Oryctolagus cuniculus: one gene and its partners. The protein of the gene in region 1 purifies or fractionates together with the protein of each later gene. This does not show direct contact. Links are inferred from orthologs where the notes say so. Each region holds a gene or a part of one and is shown in the gene's direction. Other genes may lie near its edges. The genes, in order: ARPC4, ARPC1A and ACTR3B.

Region 1 (3,651 bases):
AATCTTTTTTTTAAGGTTTATTTACTTATTTGGAAGGTAGAGTTACACAGAGAGGAGGTACACAGAGGGGGGTACACAGAGAGTGAGCTTCCATCCATTGGTTCACCCCCCCCAAATGGCTGCAACAGCCGGAGCCGGCCTGATCCAAAGCCAGGAGCTTCCTCCAGGTCTCCTGCATGGGTGTAGGGGCCAAATACCTGAGTCATCCCCCACTGTTTTCCTAGGCATATAAGCAGGGAGCTGGATTGGAAGTGGAGCAGCCGGGACTCGAACCAAACCAGCGTCTGTGTGGAATGCTGGCACCATAGTCAGTGGCTTTACCCACTACGTCACAGCACCGGCCCCCCAAATAACATTTAAAACAAAGTTTGTGAACATATAGGTTTAATCCTAGCATTTGTTTGTTTTTGAATTATTTTCTTTTTTTTTTTTTTTTTTTTTTTTATTTTGACAGGCAGAGTGGACAGTGAGAGAGAGAGACAGAGAGAAAGGTCTTCCTTTGCCGTTGGTTCACCCTCCAATGGCCGCCGCGGCCGGCGCGCTGCGGCCGGCGCAGCGCGCTGATCCGATGGCAGGAGCCAGGAGCCAGGTGCTTTTCCTGGTCTCCCATGGAGTGCAGGGCCCAAGCACCTGGGCCATCCTCCACTGCACTCCCTGGCCACAGCAGAGGGCTGGCCTGGAAGAGGGGCAACCGGGACAGAATCCGGCGCCCCGACCGGGACTAGAACCCGGTGTGCCGGCGCCGCTAGGCGGAGGATTAGCCTAGTGAGCCGCGGCGCCGGCCTGAATTATTTTCTTTGAAAGGCAGGGCAACACAGACAAGCACGGAGATCTTCCATCTGATAGTTCAGTCTCCAAATGCTGTGTTAGCCAGGCCTGGGACAGGCACAAACCAGGAGCTGGGAACTCCATCTGGTCCCCCACAGGGGAGGAAGGGACCCAAGTACTTGAGTCATCGGCATCTGCTGCCTCCTGGGGTCTGCACCAGCTGAAAGCTGGAATGGGAGCCCGGGCCAGGGTTCTGACTCCTGTGTGGGATGCAGGTGTGTTAGCCAGCGTCTGGACCCTGTGCAGGCATCGTACGATGTAACAGCTCCCACCAGCATGGTTAACTGCCGTTCAGAATATCTGCAGACTTGACCTAAACTGACAGGGGTCAGGTGGCGAGCGAGTGAATCACTCTGGATTGATGAAGAAAGGAGGCCAGACGGAGGCGAGTGCTGTGGTCGCTCCCTCGGTGCTACGCTGGTCACCTCTAGCTGTCCGCATTAGCTCTAGAGTTCCTGCCGTGTGGCAGACAGAAATAGCAATCAGAGTGGTTTTACAGAAAGGGGACTGAGATTGCAGCAGGGAGACTTGGCCCAGGAAGGGGCAGGGACGGCTGGGTTTGCAGCCCCTTGGGCCCGGCCTCCGGAGCCTGTGCTGTCTGCTGGAGAACATGCCCCTCACCCTGTCCTGGAGCAGGCCTGCTTGTAAGTCTTCCCGTGTTAGACGGCGGTCTCAGCTCAGGATCAGGACCCGCCGTGGTCATCACTGTGCTGTCCCTCTGTAGTACAGAGGTCTCTGCCACTTTGTGTTTTCAGGAGTAGCAAAGAGCTGCTGTTGCAACCAGTTACCATCAGCAGGAATGAGAAGGAGAGGGTGCTGATCGAGGGCTCCATCAATTCCGTGCGGGTCAGCATTGCTGTGAAGCAGGTGAGTCTGTCCCCATCCGGGCGATCAGTGGCCTGACGGGGCAGGAGACCCAGGCTCTGCTTCCTTGAATGTACCCTTAAGACGATTTGCCAGACTCCACAGTCAGTAGGATAAAGAGACCCCAACCCACACCCGTCTTCTAGGCCTTGGTCTAGGTTAGAAGGCAGGAAGCGCAGCAGCCCAGGCTGTGGGGCCGGTCTGGCGTTAGGCCGTGGAACCGTTCCTTAGGAATGTGGTTTGAGAAAGTAAGCAGCACTGGTACTGGTTTCACAGCAAAGCAGCCTCTGAAACTGAGACTTGGGCTTAAAAAAGAAAAAGTGCCGCTCGTCTGTCTGCTCAGGCAGTGGTTTGTTATCCATCACCTCCATACCACTAGGCTGGTTGTTCACCTAATTTTTTATTTATTTATTTATTTTTAGATTTATTTTTTTGTGAGTCAGAACTAGAGAGAGAGAGAGAGAGAGAGAATCTTCCATCTGCTGGTTCAATTCCCAAATGGTTACAGCAGCCGAGGCTGGACCAGGCCTGAGCCAGGAACCAAGAGCCTCCTCCAGATCTCAGAAGTCGGTACAGGGGCCCAAGCACTACTGCTTTCCCAGGCCATAGCAATGGATCAGAAGTGGAGCAGCTGAGACTTGAACCGGTGCCTGTATGTGAGATGGTGGCTGTAGATGGCGGCTTAACCCCGTGCGCCACAGCACTGGCCCCCACCTAATAGATCTTTAAAAATTGAGTTGCTTTCTTTTACTCAAATTTTTTGAAAAGAGACTTTATGCCGTAAGTGGAAAAACAGTATCACTTGCTGCAGTAGAAGGTAACTATAGAAGGAAACACAGTGAAAGCGAACAATGTTATTACGTTCCAAGTGGATACTACTGTCTGCAGAAAGCTCCAACTCTCAAGTCTGTTCTCATTGTGAAAGTGGAAGATTAACAAGTATTGGCATAATTGGAGCTTTAGATTTACAGAGAAAGTTGAAAAGGGAGAAACGTGAATTGTTGGATGTTGAGTGTCACTAAAGCAGACAGGTACCACCCAGGATTGTCGGGACAGGTACTACCTGGGATTGATCCCCGCTGGCACTTGGCCACACTCGGGGATGAAGCACTCATGAAACAAGGAAGGAAAGGCAGCTGTGAACGTAGGTGTGCACCCTGAGGGCCTGGGAAGCGGCTGTGTGTAGCCAGAATTCCCTCTCTCGGATGGGTGTGGTGGGATTACAGGCACCCCTCACAAAGGTGGGGAGACCCTGCAGTACCCCCTCCTGTCCGAGTGAGCACTCCCAGTGCCAAACCCTCCAGGGAGCTTGGGAAAACGGGGGTCAGAAGACCAGGCTGTCAGGTTCGCAGCCTAGGGCACTCAGCTGGAGAGACCGCATTTCTCCTTTGTCCTCACCAGGCCGACGAGATAGAGAAGATTCTGTGCCACAAGTTCATGCGTTTCATGATGATGCGAGCGGAGAACTTCTTCATCCTTCGGAGGAAACCAGTGGAGGTGAGGCTGCGTGCTCCTGGGTTTCTGACCCCTGGGATTCTGTTCCGGGGCCTGAGGTGGTTTCTAGGACTGGGCCCAGTGCCTGAGTTGAGAGTGTCTGTCTCAGCCAGGCGGAGTGCGCGGCAGAAGCTTAGGAGGGGCCGGGTCCAGCTCAGCTCAGAAGAGGGGAGATGCCGCTCCTTTGCCCGGAGCCTGCAGGCTGGCAGCAGAAAGAACGCAGCGAGGCAGAAGTCTCTAGGCCACGCCACCTGCTCCAGTGCAGCCCCTGAGCCACGGCTCACGCTGGGCCCACTGTTGCCTGACTGTGCAGGAAGCCTCTCCCGACTCCCTGGGAGGTCGACTTAGAATAGCCGCAGTGACTGAGCGTGTGCTGGCCCGGACACGAGACAGAGTTGGCCTTGTGCCGGGTTCTCTCTTCGATACTCTTGGATGCCCCTTCTCCCCAGTAGTAGAAGGCCTCCA
Region 2 (3,651 bases), on another chromosome or scaffold:
CTGCGCTCTGCCTGCTCTGGCCACCCTGCCTCCCGAGCCCCAGACCCTTGCGGAGAAACGTCCTTGCGTTTGTGTGAAGTGTGCCCCCCCGCCCCGGCCTGCCAATCACTGTCACACCGTCACTGCCTGGGCAAAGCACACAGCCTACGTCTCACTTGCAGGTATCGACTGGGCTCCCAAGAGCGACCGCATTGTCACCTGCGGGGCAGACCGCAACGCCTACGTGTGGAGTCAGAAGGACGGCGTCTGGAAGCCGACCCTGGTGATCCTGCGGATTAACCGCGCAGCGACTTTTGTGAAGTGGTCGCCCCTAGAAAACAAATTTGCTGTGGGAAGTGGAGCACGGCTCATTTCTGTTTGTTACTTCGAGTCTGAGAATGACTGGTAAGCAGTAGTGAAATGTTTTTTTTTGTTTGTTTGTTTGTTTTTTTTTTTTTTTTTTATAATTAATCTTTCTGAGAGGTACAATTGGGGATGGGGAGTAGGACAGGAAGACATCATCCATCCGCTGGTTCACTCTACAAACAGCTGCAATGGCCAGGGCTAGGCCAGGCCAAACCCAGGATCCCAGAACTCCATCCAAATCCCCGACATGAGTGGCAGGGGTCCAAGGACCTGGGCCATCTTCCATTGCTTTCCCAGGCACATTAGCAGGGGGAGCTGGATCAGAAGTGGAGCACCAGGAATCTAATCAGTGCTCAGATGGGATGCCAGCATTGCAGGCAGCTTAACCCACTGCCACATGCCAGCCCCACATTGGAACCTTTTACATTAGGGCTGCCGTGTTCGTCCTGCCTTCTTGAAGCCCTGGGCGAAGGTTTAACTGTAAGTCCAGCTTTTCTCATTAGCAGACTTTTTTTGTTCCCATTCTGTCTGAGCATCTTTCCTCCTTATGTGTACTTCGGGCTAAATCTCATCTCATTAATATAGAGGTACTGTTTCCACGCTCTGATCTCCTAACTTGTTTTGCAGGCTGCTCCTCCTCTTCTCCCTCTGTTCTGCCCAACTTGCTGTGTTCTTACTCTGGTATATACATCAAGCTTGAAAGAGGCTCAGTGATTTCCTTTCCCACTGTGTTTGTTCACTTAGAATACCTTGGATTTTACAGATAACTGTGTTCTCCTTTCCTTGAAGCTTATGTGCTGACCGAATCTGTGTCTTGGTATATGCAATATTTTACTTGCTGCTGCAGTACAAATTCACCAGAATCTTATAAGTATAAATCACTTGCAGCCGAGCCAATCAAAATACAAGGGTTTATTATGTGGCTACTTATTTTAACTACTCCCTCCTGCTTATTTTGATAGGAAAGCAACTCTGTTCTGCCTGGCACGTATTCAGAATGGTGGTAAATGTCCTTCAACATGGCATTGATTGTTAGTGCAGAAGTGGCCATGTTTGTGTACCAGGAAAAACAGCAGGGAACACATTTCACTCTCGTGGTCTCTCTCTGCGTTCTGCTGCAGCAGCGACGGGAAGGGACCATCGTGCTGCATTTCATAACTCAGAAAAACTGCAGAAATTTTTTATCCTTTGGAAAGAAAGTCAGTTTGCAACAAGATTGAATTATGAATTCAAGACACACATTTTGCTTCCGCATGTGTGTTAAAAATAAGGTTAGCGGAATGCTGCCTGTCAGAAATCACCTGGGAGCTTCATTGGCATGCACAGATAAGAAACAAACGTCGTTAATGTTCCTACATGGCTACACTTTACGGCAGCTAAGTCCCAGCAGTCTTAGGAATTTGTACAGAAAACCCTTCTCCTAGCTGGGCGTCCGACTCAGTACTTGTTTACATTTGTATTCACTGAGTGGTCTCAAATAGAGGAAAATCGGACTTCGCTTCGGTATAAGGTGTCATGTTCAGGGCGGTTTCTCAACTGTTGGACAATATTTCATTATCCAGTATTCAGAAGCCTGCAATTCAGTCACTTGAACTGATTGTTTTGCTTGCTACTCTTTTCCTTAAATAATTTTTTTTGAAAAACGGCATTATAAAACAATTCAGAATGTTGACTTTTTGACAATAAGCATTCTCAAGTTTGTAAGAAAAAGATTCCATAGAAATTTTATTCAGTATTAAGTGTCCAAACTTTTGAACAACTTGGCATGATTCGTTTTTAAACAGTAGTTTTGGGGCTGAAATTGAATTACGTAAGCCTAAATAGTGACTGATTGTAAACATAAATAATCTTTTCTGAATGGCACTGGGGAATTAGTTAGTGGCTAATACCCCCCAGAAAAATGTTCTTCTAATTTCTTGGTTGTGATTTCTTTGTGAAAAAATAAAAGAAGTTGCAGATCATGGAGACTTGTGAAGAAATTAAGCTCTCTTACAACCCAAAATGAAATAACAAATCACTGAATATTTATAATAAAATTTAAATAATTTCCTTTTTTAATTAGTTTATTTATTTGAACGACAGAGTTACAGAGAGAGATCTCCCATCCATTGGTTTACTCCCCAAATGGTAGCAATGGCCGGGGCTGTCACATGGATGGCAGGGACCCAGATACTTGGGCTCTCTTCCCCTGCTTTCCCAGGCTTGTTGGCAGGAAGCTGGATTGGAAGCACTCAGGCATTGCTCGAAGTGGCTCTCAGACAGGACGCCGGCATCACAGGTGGTGGCTTTAATCCGCTGTGCCAGGAGTCAGCTCCAAAGTTCAGAGAACTTCCAACTTTAACTTTTGTCCAGTGGTAACATTATATGTATTCTGAAATCCCAAGGGGAGAGCCAGAGTTAATCAGGTTCTTCTCCATCCTTTACCAGGAGACCTAGTGGCCAGCGAGGGAACCTTGCTAAGGCACTTTCACCGTGGCCAGTGGGCCCTGGCTGGGCTTAAGCCAGGCTCTTCCCTCCGCGTATGAAAGAATCCAAGGTGGAGGCGTAAAGGGGTACAGAAAGCAAGGTTTTTTAAAAAAGATTTATCTGTGTATTTGAAAGACAGAAATACAGAGAGAGGGAGAAACAGGGAGAAGTCTTTATCTGCTGGTTCACGCCCCAAATGGCCGCAATGACTGGGGCTTCCTCTGGGTCTCCCACATGGGTGCAAGGGCTTGAACACTTGGGCCATCTTGCACTGCTTTCCCAGGCACATTAGCAGGGAGCTGGATCAGAAGTGGAGCAGCCAGGACTTCAACCAGTGCCCACATGGGATGCTGGCACTGCAGGCGGCAGCTTTAGCAGCTACACCGTAGCAGGACTTACTTAAAGCAAAGGAAAAGTGCACACTCCAGAACTGAGTGCTGGCAAGCTTAAGAGAGAGAGAATACGAACAAAAAGCTCAACACAGAAGCCCCTCTCGAGATTCAAGCTGTTGGGGCCAGTGCTGTGGCGTAGCAGGTAAAGCCCCCGCCTGCATGTGGGTGCATGTGGGTGCCAGTTCGAGTCCTTGCTGCTCCACTTTCGATCCAGCTCTCTGCTGTGGCCTGGGAAAGCAGTGGAAAATGGCCCAAGTCCTTGGGTCCCAGTACCCATGTCGAGACCCTGTCTCCTGCCATCGGATTGGTGCAGCTCTGGCTGTTGTGGCCAACTGGGGAGTGAACCATCGGATGAAGGACCTCTCTCTCTCTCTGCCTCTCCTCTCTCTCTGTAACTCTGACTTTCAAATACATAAATAAATCTTTTTAAAAATTGCATATTTAAAAA
Region 3 (2,822 bases), on another chromosome or scaffold:
AGGGAGGTGAGACGTGTTCCTCCAGTTAACAAACTGCTGGTTTTAGTTAGACATCTAACCAAGATTGTGCTTGGTAGGGGAAGTGGGAACAAAGAAGCGAGCCCCCTGAGACAGAGCCAGCTGGCTGGGAAGGGGCAGTTCCTTCAGTGTTTTTGGAATGGCTAGCTGTTTCTTAGTGTGTGTGCTGCCCAAGTGGGGACTCAGAATTATCTCTACAGTGCTAAAACATCTATCTCATTTGGGCAAAAAAAAAAAAAAAAAAAAAAAAAAAAAAAAAAAAAAAAAAAGAAGGAGAAGAAGAAAAGAAAGAAATGATTGAGGGTAGTTGCTTGGGTCTTTCACTTACTGTAGGGCTTTGTTGTGTGAAGGTGCCCTCTGCGGGCTGTGCCTGCCTCGTTTCTTTGAACCACCCAGGTCTGGAGCGATGGGGGCCGGCGGGGAGGACGTTCCTTGCAGAGGCAGCATGCGTGTAGTTGGTGCCACTGCAGGAGAATGCACATGTGAGGGGGAGGCCTTCTGCCATTAAGAGGGAAGGAAGACCCAGGAGGGATGCTACCCTGTTAGCCAAAAGATTACTTGAATAACAATTCACGTGTACCCTTGGACTAAACGTAGATTACTTTATTTCCAGCCTAAGCCTGTGGAGGTTCAGGTGATAACACATCATATGCAGCGCTATGCCGTGTGGTTTGGAGGCTCAATGCTGGCTTCCACCGTAAGTCCTTTCAGGTTGTTGCATAATTTCATTTCTGCAGCCTCTGTTAAGTGTGACTAAATAGGACAGATCTTCAAAAACTTCATACAAAATGCATGCTGTGAAAAACTTGCATGAATTAAAAAAATTTTTTGTAAGCAAATAAGCTTTCAATTCCATTTTTCATGAATTTAATGTATCCTCTATTGTTTAGAAAGGTTATATAGTGCATGTTCTAGTTATGTGGCTATAAATAGACACATACTTAATTCTGTAAGATTGGACATAATTTAATGATCACTTAAGTTGCATAGCTAATTTGCAAGTATTCTTGCTAGGGGTTGTAGATAACATGAGTAAGTGAAATAAAAAATAAATCTTGAATTATTAATTCCAGTGATTTTCCTAATTAATTTTTCAAATTTGTTAGTAACTGACACCCTGTCAGCATGGGGCCTGCATATAGTGGGCTCTAGATAAACAGAGGGTGAATACGTCTTTAAAAAATGAGATAACTAGTGTGTCAGAGAGGTCAGAATCCTATCAGAGTGGTTTGGAGAGAGAGGAAGTCTAGGGTAAGGAGAGCTTCTCGTTCGCTTAATAGTTTATTTCTGAACTAGTCAAGTTTCCTTCTAACTGTTGCCTCTGGCAGCCGGAGTTTTTTCAGGTCTGCCATGCCAAGAAGGACTATGAAGAGTACGGCCCTGGCATCTGCCGTCACAACCCTGTCTTCGGAGTCATGTCTTAGTGTCCGCCGGGATTATCGTTCGATCGTGCCATATTGGGGAGCAAGTGTCCTTCGGAACCCAGAGAAGAGTGCAGTTTCTGTACATAACAGCGTCCGGTGTTGGTGTCCGAGCAGTGTGCGTGCATTGCCCAGTGCATGAGGCACAGTGCAGAGTCTTTTCAGTACAAGCCATTTATTTATGTGCCGACTGTTGTATGCCCGTTCCTTTCTCCCTCACACCCCACTTCCTGCTCCCCCCATTTTCTCTCCTCCTCGCCACCCGAGCTTCTAGTTGACAGATGCAGTTCTGAAGGGATTCAGATGCGACTGGAAAAATTGTTAGGGGAGAAAACACACTAGAAGATGGTGTGGAATCGTTCACCCCCAGGAAATGATGGGGGTTGTAAACCCTTTTCCTCCCAGCCTATTTTTGTAAATAAAATGTTATAAACTTGAAATACAAATCGATGTTTATATTTCCTATCATTTTGTATTTATGGTATTTGGTACAACTGGCTGATCCTAAGCACGAATAGATATTGATGTCATGGAGTGCTGTAGTTTAAGTTTCTAACTGTGAGGCATGTCCTGATATATTTATAGGCAGACAATAAAACAGAGAAACAGAGCAAACTTTGTTTGCCACGTTTGCTAGAAAATGATTATACTTTATTGGAGTGACATGAAGTTTGAACACTAAACAGTATTGTATGAGAATTATTATAGATAATGTATCTTTAGTTTTTTGTTTGAATTTCCTGGAATTGTTTTATAGAAGATGATGGTTTGTTTTGGTGAGTGTTGGATGAAATACTACCTTGCACTATTGTAATAAAAGCTGTTAGAATCTTTATAAATTTTTTTTTCTGTAGTGCGGTGGTCTTTGGTGTTCTGCTTTCTGCCTTTTTTTTTTTTTTAAGATTTATTTTTATTTATTTGAAGGACAGAGTTACAGAGAGAAGTAGAGACAGGGAGAGAGGTCTTTCATCTGCTGATTCACTCCCCAAATGGCTGCAATGGCTGGAGCTAAGCCAATCCGAAGTCAGGAGCCAGGAGCTTCTTCTGGGTCTCCCACGTGGGTGCAGGGGCCCAATGACCTGGGCCATCTTCTACTGCTTTCCCAGCCATAGCAGAGAGCTGGATCGGAAGTGGAGCAGTGGGACTGGAACTGGTGCCCATATGAGATGCCAGTACTGCAGGCAGCGGCTCTACCTGCTACACCACAGCGCCGGCCCCTGTGCTTTTTTATTTTATTTTTTTAAAGATTTATTTATTTTATTTGAAAGAGTTAGAGCAAAAGAGGGAGACAGAGAACGAGAAAGGATAGAGATCTTCCATCTGCTGGTTCACTCCCCAAATGGCTGCCAACAGCCAAGGCTGGGTCAGGCTGAAGCCAGGAGC

The links.
Region 2: the proteins of ARPC4 (region 1) and ARPC1A fractionate together in Homo sapiens (co-fractionation; 7 studies listed by BioGRID and IntAct, with this or other methods). This does not show direct contact. The link is inferred for Oryctolagus cuniculus from reciprocal best matches to the Homo sapiens genes ARPC4 and ARPC1A.
Region 3: the proteins of ARPC4 (region 1) and ACTR3B purify together in Homo sapiens (affinity purification with mass spectrometry; 5 studies listed by BioGRID and IntAct, counting the BioPlex papers as one, with this or other methods). This does not show direct contact. The link is inferred for Oryctolagus cuniculus from reciprocal best matches to the Homo sapiens genes ARPC4 and ACTR3B.

The regions. Positions count from the first base shown.
Region 1 is NC_091441.1:116,915,751-116,919,401, reverse strand, and holds part of ARPC4 (actin-related protein 2/3 complex subunit 4), read left to right. Parts: intron 1-1,583; coding exon 1,584-1,695; intron 1,696-3,093; coding exon 3,094-3,189; intron 3,190-3,651. UniProt on the Homo sapiens protein: Actin-binding component of the Arp2/3 complex, a multiprotein complex that mediates actin polymerization upon stimulation by nucleation-promoting factor (NPF).
Region 2 is NC_091450.1:41,590,443-41,594,093, forward strand, and holds part of ARPC1A (actin-related protein 2/3 complex subunit 1A), read left to right. Parts: intron 1-161; coding exon 162-384; intron 385-3,651. UniProt on the Homo sapiens protein: Probably functions as a component of the Arp2/3 complex which is involved in regulation of actin polymerization and together with an activating nucleation-promoting factor (NPF) mediates the formation of branched actin networks.
Region 3 is NC_091438.1:21,038,227-21,041,048, reverse strand, and holds the end of ACTR3B (actin-related protein 3B), read left to right. Parts: intron 1-631; coding exon 632-715; intron 716-1,346; coding exon 1,347-1,442; 3' UTR 1,443-2,278; downstream 2,279-2,822. UniProt on the Homo sapiens protein: Plays a role in the organization of the actin cytoskeleton.